Caenorhabditis elegans: one gene and its partner. The protein of the gene in region 1 interacts with the protein of each later gene in a pairwise test. Each region holds a gene or a part of one and is shown on either strand. Other genes may lie near its edges.

Region 1 (5,308 bases):
CAAACAGAGAATAATTAAAACAATAATGTGACTCGGATAAAAATTCTTTTAGAATTCTGCGTCTACCATCAGATAGTCGAAGTCTTCTTCCTCCTTTATGGTTCCCTCGTCGCATTGACTAGTCAGGTCAGGAAGGCTGTACTGATCAATAGTCGACGGCTGCTCCGATGTACTTTCCACGTTTGTGTAGTCGATTGGAACATCTACATGTCCGAGCGATTTCTGCTTAATCCTTTCGCGAATTTCCTTCATCAGTTTGGAGTCTCTTTCCTGCTTTTTTGAATTTGCGACATTATTCAGGAACTTGATGGAAGACTCGTGAGCATTGAATGTGGATTGGAAGAAGACGAGATGGCTGAAAAATATTCTTAATCAATATATATGGTTTTAAAATACTCACGTAAATGGTTCCTGCCATAATAATTCGTCCGGATATTTGATGTCGTTCTTGTCAATAAATCCTGAATGTTGATTTTGAATTGAAGATCGACTGTATCCATGAACGGACTTTGGAGCACTGAAAACATAATATTTATTCATGATATTTCTCTTAACAATTACTTGTAGCTCGCGATCTTCTCCGAAAAAGGGTTCATATTTAGTTCGACGGCCTGTGCCACTTGCTCTTTAGAGTTTCTTGTTTGGTAGAAAGAAAATGAATGCGAAATAATATCCGCTTCATCCTCATCGGAATTGATTTCGTCTCTTTTTGTTGATCTGATTCCGATACCCATCCTTCTCATTGCTTTCCAATCGACTTCAGGATCGTCTTGTTTGATGTCACTTGTCAAAGACTGAAAAATTATTGCAAATATTTAAATTATAAATTCTTACACACCTTCAGAGTCAATCCTTGCTCAGCAAAAGTGTCACAGGTGTAATCATCTGCAAGTTCCAGGTCCGGTCTCTTGATGCGACGTCTTTTAGGGACTCCTTGAGGTCTGGTCTGCAAGAAATCATTTCTAAATTTCAACAACTAGCATTAAAATCCCACCATTTTTCTTCTATACAGTCGCCTTCTTCGTTGCTTCGGCATCGCTTGTGGTTCGTACTCACAAACCACGTCTTCAGTGTCTGAGACTTCCCCATCTAACGCTTTCTTTTTCTTTTTGAGAATCCTGTCGTTCTTCAACCCACGAGCAATTTTCTGCTCTAATTCTCGGACAATCTTAAAGAAGTTAAATCGATAAAAATTTTTTAAAAGGCAGCATACGCGTTCATCCGGTCGCTCGCCTTCGGAACTTTCTGCAGCATCCACCATCGAACTCTTGTGAGTCTCCACAACGTATTCATCATCACTCTCCTCGTCGCTGCTGCTACTGTGATCATCGTCGTATTCATTTTCTGAAAAACTCTTGTTGTCAGTGCCATCTGCCGATGCGGGCGGTACTTCGATCTCCAACGGATCCTCTACAATTTCTGTTTCAGGAATTCGTGATTTCTTCTCGGGCTGGTTCACTCCCGAAGATTCCGCATTTGCTCTTTTTGATGCGCTTCTCGTCGTCGGTTTCATCTGAAATTAATGTCTCATTATTAAATATAGAAGCTTAAAAACACAATAAATGAATAAGTAAAAAACGTTTATTTAAATTTTAAGTGCTTTCATCTGTTCTTTGCACATTTCAAAGCGGTTTCTAGACTCAAAATACATAGAGATATGCTCAGATTTTAATAAACTACAATTTTAAAACTTCAAAATATGAGAAATTCTCTTGAAAGTGCATTTTAAGTAGAAAATGAACGGAAAAAAATTGAAATATAAAAGAAAAAACTTAAAGGTGCATGACATTTCTTCCATGGGTCTCGACACGAGAACACAACATGTTGACCTGAGTTACGGTAAACTTCGGTTGAAATTAGTTATTTTATGTCAAATTATTCATTTATTTTTCAGTTTTTTCTCATTTTCAATTAGTTTTTAATTAAAAAAAATGTTTTAAAATATTTTAAGTGTCAAAATGGACGAAAGCTTCGACTCTTCTGTTGTCCCTGGCTCTCTGACGAGTGATGACAGGGTGAGTAGATTTGACAGAGTTTTTTTTGTCGAGAAAACGAAAATTTTCAGGCTATATTCAACGAGCAAACATTGAAAAATGGTGATGAAAATTCGAAAAGCTCTCTTGAAGTGATGGCCAACTGCGTTTATCTTGCAAACTCAACAATTCTCCGTGAACGGAAAGTTATTCCTGCGGAATACTTCCAGGATTTTCAAGTTTATGGTGAGGTTTTATCTATCTGACTTGCAATTAAGCATGAATTATTTTATAGGAGATGTCAGCGGATATACTTTGCGACAAGACATTCCAGAAGGACGGAGTGTGTCTTCGAAGCTTTTGGCGTCTCATGACGCGATCCGTCAGAAACTCCTTCAGGTACAGTTTTACTCTCGTAAGTGGTAAAAATTCATTGTTTGCAGAAACTCGCTATTGTCGTTGAAGAGTCACTAAACACGAATCCCGTGGAAACGTTTGTCTGGACCTTTGTCTATGACTCAACCACATCTGCAAGTGCCGAAATCGGATACGGAGGGTTAGATCATTTATCTAAATATAAATTTCACTGACTCTTTTCCAGGCGTAAATCTAAATTTGTGGTGAATTATTTAAACATGGATGATACTGCTCAACAGTTTTGCAAGATGTTCAGCGAGCTTAGAAATGTTCTAAGCCTGCTCCGTCCGCTACCAAGAGGCCTCATTCCATCGATGAAAGTAGCATACAGAGGAGGTAAGGTTAAAAATATTTAATTTAAATCATAAATAAATTATTGTTTTAGAACCGGAATTCGTTCCCGGATTTCAACAAGTCGACGATTTTGTGAATCCTGAGCAGATCAATCTTGGTGCTGTTAGTTTTCCTCACGGCAATGGGTTTGTTCGTCATTTCAATCATCAAATTCTTAATTAAATTGATTCAGATTTCAATTCGCATATGCCTCGAAATTCATGGTTGAACAGCCTTCAGCCATTCGTCCACCAGTGGAAGTTTCTCATTTTGAAGATGATTTGCTCAACTCAACGATCACACCGATCGAAGTTGTTCGAGATAACACAATGAATTGTGCTGAGAATCCTGAACTTGACGAAATCTATTTTTCACCAGGTGCGTTTTGTCGAGAAAAAAAATTAATTTTCTAATGTTTATAGGTCGTCAAGAAGTACGTATGGACGAAGATGTGGCAAACGAATCAATTCGTTGTAATCCAAGTATGGCCAGTGAAATGATGGTTCTGCAGTCCGAATATAATGTATTGATTGCTGATAATGATGAAGTTCCAATGGTTGTTGAAAGGGAACGTTCTCCAATAGTGAAAGCTGCAAAGAAACGTTCAACGAGAGCTCCCGCTGTCCCGATAACTCCAACGGAACCGGCTTCTCCCGTGGAGTCCCCGGTGAAAGAGCAACCTCAAAAAGCGCCAAAAGCTCAGATGAGACGTTCCAGTAAACGCACCACGAAGAACAATGAACGATGCGAACAGAAAGAAGAAGAACCAATAGTGAACCCAAAAAGGGTAATTATTTTTATTGTTATAATAAAAATGTTAAGTTCAATAATTTACAGAGAAGTGCTCGTCGGCTTGTACCTCCAGTTGAAGTCGATGAACAGCCAGAAGAACAAAATGATGATGATGCTCAGAATTCTCTTCAAATTGACTCTGATGCTCAGAATTCTCTTCAAATTGACTCTGATGCTATTATCACCTCTCCCGAGAAGAGAAATGAATCAAAGTCTGCAATACCTGAGGAAGCTGCGGATCTAGATAATACTACATCTGAGAAGCAGGAGAGCTCAACAGCAAGATATGGCGTTTCAAATACTTCTATTAACAGGAAAAAACCAGACCCAGTTGCAAATCCGGTTTCGGAAGAGGCTCAGGTAGATTTGGCGAACGGTAGTATCCCGGATAAAAGACCACGGAAGAGAAAATATGGACGAGTGTCGAGTATTCTCGACGTCGCTGATCTGCCAACTGACGATACAGTGGAGGAAGACGTTCGTGAAAGTCCCATCTACGGTCGTGTACCAAGTATATTGGATGTAGCAAGGGCTGAGGAGAACGATGCTCAAAATGATGCTCAAGATGCTCAAAATGAAATTGCTGTTGAGGGACTTGCCGACTTATCAATTGACACCGAGCAGCATGAAGAAGCAGCTCCAATTAATGTTACTGGTCATCAATCGGAGAGCGTTCCAATCATTGTGACGGAGCATCAGTCTGAAGAAGCTCAAACGGTTGTCACGGAGCAACCAGCAGGAGCAGCTTCAGTTATTGCTGCGGAGAGACACTACGGCCGAGTTTCGAGTATTCTCGATGTAGCTGGTTCGTTCGCTGACGTAGATCCATCAGGTGCCGCTCCAGCTATTGCCACAGAGAGACACTACGGCCGAGTTTCGAGTATTCTTGATGTAGCTGGTTCGTTAAGTGACGTAGATCCACAGGAAGATACCGAAAGCTCCACTCAAAACCAATCGACTTCCAAGAAATTCAAACCAAACCCTCCAAAGGCAATGAGGTACGGCCAGTCGCCGAACATGCCAAGTAGAAGAGGAAACTGAACGATTTCTGGACAATCGTGTACAATTATCAATCTGTTCCATTTTTTTGTTGTTTCTTCGATTTCCTTTTTAATAGTTGGACAAATGCCTTAGTTTTCGAATGAATTTTTTAAATATTAATTTTCATATCCGATGATGATGGGAATTTGTTAAAATACAAAATATTACTTGCATGTGATGAAATATTTAGAGCTATTCAAGTATTTTCCAGCGTTTCAGAATTCTTTCGTTGGCGTTCTTTTTTGAACATAGCGCCGTTTTCTTTCTCAAAGGAGCGCGGTGACATACACTTGTTTCCCTTTTTTCAGTGGCCGTTCGCTCTTTACTCTAATCGATTTCACTTTGGCATTCTGTTCTTATTCCAGCTAAAGTTTTTAAGAATTGTGTTTTTTTAATGAATTTCTCTTTTTGGGTTCTATTTAGTTCGCCACATTTTGAAAAAAATCAACGTTTTTCAGGATAAATGACATCATTAATCGATTCGAGGGTGCTCTACGAGAGTGATTTTTCCATTTTCAACGGTCGACTATGTTCTCTACGCATATCAGCTGTTACCAATAATGAAGAGGGTATTGAAAAAGTGAGATTAATTGGAGATATATTGATTTTTAAATAAAAATAATTAATTTTCAGATTCGAATAACGTCTCCTTCCGATGCTACAATTTTGCTAGATACATCGATCAGTTCTGACGAGTGTTCCAGTTTTATTGAAATTTTGAAAGAAATCTCCACGGCACGGAAAAGCGATCC
Region 2 (4,055 bases), on another chromosome or scaffold:
ACAGATTCATAACTATTTTTTATTCCAGGATTTTGAATTCCGCATTCTAACCTACTGCCCGAACGATTTCCGTGAATATTTTTCAACACAACAAGTGAGAATCGAGACAATTTTCTGGAGAATGTTTATTGTGATTCAAAAAAACCAGAAGGAATTGAAACATTGACCAGAGGAAAACAAAAACAAAAAGGAAAAGAGAGAGCAGACATGGGACAGACATTCGGTGAAAGCTCAAAAGTTATTCTGCTAATGCAGACTTCTAGCCTAAAAGGATGCGTATGAGGTGATGGGTACAGTAAAAATGGGAAAATATAACAAAGGATCGAATGGTCAATGAGGATCGGATGAACGTTTCATAGAAAACAATGTGAAATTAATTCAACCTTCCAATCATCGATGGTAAATAACCTTCGATCGTATTATGGATTAATAATGGGGAAAAAGCTCCTGACTTAGAATCATGGAAAATACAATGTTAGAACTTCTTAACCGGTACAGAGAAAAATGAATGACGGGGGTTTGATTACGGGCATGATGGGAGTGAGAATATGACAGATAATATGAGAATGATACATTCTTAAAATGAGGAGCAACTCAGGCATAAGAAATATGACAGATTGAGAGAAGCTGGAGAGGGAGATCATTCATGGAGAGTTGTACCAATTGCCACCTTCTTTGTACGACTTCTCGTTGTTGCAGTTAGGCGCGGTAGGAATCAATGGGTACAGATAGTAAACCCACCTGGAATGATAAATTTCAGTTAATTAATTGATTTAGATACTCACTGTGGATATACGAGTTCCTCGGATTCCTCCACAAAGCCACAAATACTCGAATCGTTCGAATTGTTGGTACCGTTCTACAAAAATACATTACAGCTAATGTTCAATGAAACTTTCTGGTACCCCATCATCGATAATCAGGTCCTGTGCGACAGGCTCGTCGATTCTTTGTCTCTCCACTTCTACTCGAGGCTGTGCCCTCTGAAACGGAATCGGCGCAACGGCGGGTGCTGTAGTTCTTGTCCTTCTATCTTGTGACAATCTCTGAAACCAAGGTTTGTCTCATAACGAAAATATGAAGAAAATAAACTCACTGGACCGGGAGTAGCCGACCGACGCGACATGCGGGATGTCTGAGCATTTCGGGACTCGTTCATCAGCTAAAACAAGAAAAATTAACTTTTTTTCGGTGTACTACAGCACTCACTATGATTTCGTCCGGATAAGATGGCCACGAGTCTGGCGATCCAAGGGAATAAGCACCTGTAGTCACCCAGTCGTACACCCTGAAGAATAAGTAAATTAGGAACATTTAAAAATTAGTTTCATACGTTTGTTGCCTGGCGACCTCACTGACTGGACCGCTCCAGATTTTGTCCCTGTATGCGCCTTTGCTGAAAAGAAAGTACTCGAAAAAATGACATTTTTTATTCAAATACCTCGGGGAGTGCTCTTCTCTTGGCTTAGAACTCCAATTCTGTCTCGTTTGATGACGTCCTCGATAGTTTGGCATCTGAAAACAATGATAAACGTTTTTTGAGCTTGAAAGGAGAAAATTTAGGCAAACTCGTCCAAAAATGAGAATTCAGACCGTTTTAAAAATAGCAAACAAGTTACAGTAATCAAAGGAGCAGTCAGTAAACTAAATTTAGGCCTCACCACGAGTTAGCGAATTTCACTTGCATTTGCGTATTTTTAAAGAATAGTACTTTTTAAAATTACCTCTAGTAATCAAATTTGTTGACAGTTTTGAAATGAATGAAAAATTTACTTTAAAATAAAAGGAAAAGCTGCATTTAGTCAAAAATTATTTGAATAGTTTTGAGCTTTTGTAATTGCGTGGCGAGACCAATGGACTTACCCAATCCGATGTACCTTTAATTTAGCATTTTATTTGCATTTTTGAAATCCTAAAATTCTTTCCTAGGCTTTCGAAATTGACGATTTTCTGTGTTTTTTAAAATTCAAATATCGTTTCCTAGTTTCGAAAATAATTTTTCGTTTTTTAGTGTATCATTTTAAGCTTGTCATTGGGTTTTTTCTTTCTTTGCATAGTATTCCTCGAGGAATTATATTATATTTCACATTTACAAACTCTTGCCTAAAAATGAGACTGTTTTTTTGCAGATGGCGCCCTTGGAAACCATCTACGACGAATCGCTCAACAAATCGGCGGATTCCATTGATGATAAGGTTTTTTTCATGGTTTTATGGCCATTGTAATTTTTTTCATCTTTAGAAATGGTCCAAACTTTTCCCAAGGATTGTCAGCGACCCGGATCGATCATCCAATTTCATGACCAGAGCAATCTACGTCGCGTTTTCGGCTGTTCTTAGGAACCGTAACATTCTTGGACAAGAATATTTCACGAAGAATTACATCACTGGTAAATGTTTTTCTTATCACATTTTATAGTAAATGTTCTTTTTCAGAAAAGCTGAAATGCATGACGCTGTGCTTCAGAAACCCACGGTCTAACCAAATCGCTCAACTACTTCGAAATGCTGGGGATGCAACAAAGGATGGGTTTCTGAAAGAAGTCTCCCTCGTGATCACAAATAATGAAGGAGATCTTGAAGCCATCGAAGTTTTCTCTATGAAGTTCATTTATTTTGAGAATGGCGGCGTGGTTGCTCGTCTGAGCACTGACAAGAATGGCCAGGAAGATCCTCACTTCGCAAAGCTTGCTCAACTTGTATACGAGGGTGGCGACAGCGTACGAGATCAAATGGTGACGATTGTTCGCAGTGTTCAGTTCCTCTGCACAAAAGTTCTCGAACCGTTGCCAGAAGAATTCACGGCTAATTTTCGATTGGAGTACACAAACGATGCTCCATCCAATTTCCGCATTGATGGCTTCGAAGATTCTTCCACTTTTTACACACTTCCTGATGATATCCAATCGGCAACCATTGGTCACTTGCGCCCAGGATGCCACGCTGCAAACATGGAATGCTGGAGCATGTTGATGTCCGATTCATACGAAGCAGAGTTGACTCTCAAGCGACACCTGGACAAAGTTTCCGATAGGCATGGATTCAATCCAGTGAATGTGCTGTATAAATCGTTTAATTCGGAGGACAGTGACACAAGTCTTAGTCAGGCCACTACTGAATCTGTCAACGATCAAGGAGGAAACGAGACTTCTCCGGTGGATGATATAACTGTTAGTTTATTAGTTTTTTACATATAAACAAAAAATTTAAAATTGTAGGAGTCTCTCGAGAAAGCACAAATGTCGCCTATCCAGACGAGACCAACTACTCGCAGAGGAGCCGATGGCAGCAAAACCAGATCGTCTCCATATTCTCGTTCCTGTAAATAATTTTTTTCCTAGCTTTCAATAGATTATAGCTTCATTCTGTAACTTGGCATGTTCTATATCATCGTGTAAAATGTTTTATTGTCTTGAGTGTTTCCTTTCTGCTCCATTATTGTATCCTTAGTTTTTTTTATTCAAATTACAGTCATTCATAAATAAATCGACTGGTGTTATTAAATAGCATGTTTCCCATGACTCCATTTTCAAGATACTCCAGTGCATTTCAGAATTTTTCAACAATTGACCAATCTAAAAAGGATTCTCTCTTTTCTTCTTCTGCTGGATACCGCTCCGAGTATCTTTCGGTAAATCTCGAAATTCTCTTTGTATTCACCATTCATGCTGACCTCGATAACTTTTCTCAAGGTTCTTTGCTAAAATTTATGTGGTTTGCAAGGGAACGTGGCGATTGTTGATTGTTGGTTTCAAGTTTTGAAAAAAAACACAGTTTATTCTACTTTTCAATGTCAGACGTCACAAAATTTATCAGAAAAAGCTTTTTTATTGCAGTGTCTGAAACAATTTTATGTAGTATTCAGGTTGATTGTAGTCGTTTTAAAGGCGCGTGCTACTTTAAATTGGTCTCGCCACGAAAACCATATATTTGTATGTTCTGTTAAAAAATCACATTCTAGCGAACAAATATCTCAATTTTCATTTAAGAAAGAGCAGTCGCGCCTGTCGCCAACAAAATGGATCGTGGCGAGACCTATCGAGAGAAAAATGTTCT

The links.
Region 2: the proteins of htp-3 (region 1) and htp-1 interact in a two-hybrid assay, tested with the Caenorhabditis elegans proteins (2 studies listed by BioGRID).

What each region holds. Positions count from the first base shown.
Region 1 is NC_003279.8:4,825,121-4,830,428, forward strand, and holds htp-3 (HORMA domain-containing protein), read left to right. Parts: upstream 1-1,951; 5' UTR 1,952-1,958; coding exon 1,959-2,015; intron 2,016-2,065; coding exon 2,066-2,219; intron 2,220-2,268; coding exon 2,269-2,372; intron 2,373-2,416; coding exon 2,417-2,529; intron 2,530-2,574; coding exon 2,575-2,726; intron 2,727-2,775; coding exon 2,776-2,869; intron 2,870-2,916; coding exon 2,917-3,101; intron 3,102-3,145; coding exon 3,146-3,510; intron 3,511-3,560; coding exon 3,561-4,556; 3' UTR 4,557-4,676; downstream 4,677-5,308. Other genes in the region: tofu-4 (Twenty One u-rna (21U-RNA) biogenesis Fouled Up), read right to left, coding at 49-355, 401-517, 562-794, 839-946, 995-1,168, 1,214-1,513; F57C9.4 (C2H2-type domain-containing protein), read left to right, coding at 5,020-5,136, 5,190-5,308.
Region 2 is NC_003282.8:5,389,632-5,393,686, reverse strand, and holds htp-1 (HORMA domain-containing protein), read left to right. Parts: upstream 1-2,129; coding exon 2,130-2,195; intron 2,196-2,241; coding exon 2,242-2,389; intron 2,390-2,435; coding exon 2,436-3,169; intron 3,170-3,217; coding exon 3,218-3,328; 3' UTR 3,329-3,498; downstream 3,499-4,055. Other genes in the region: ZK616.5 (uncharacterized protein), read right to left, coding at 645-741, 786-859, 906-1,046, 1,097-1,162, 1,210-1,288, 1,334-1,396, 1,442-1,515.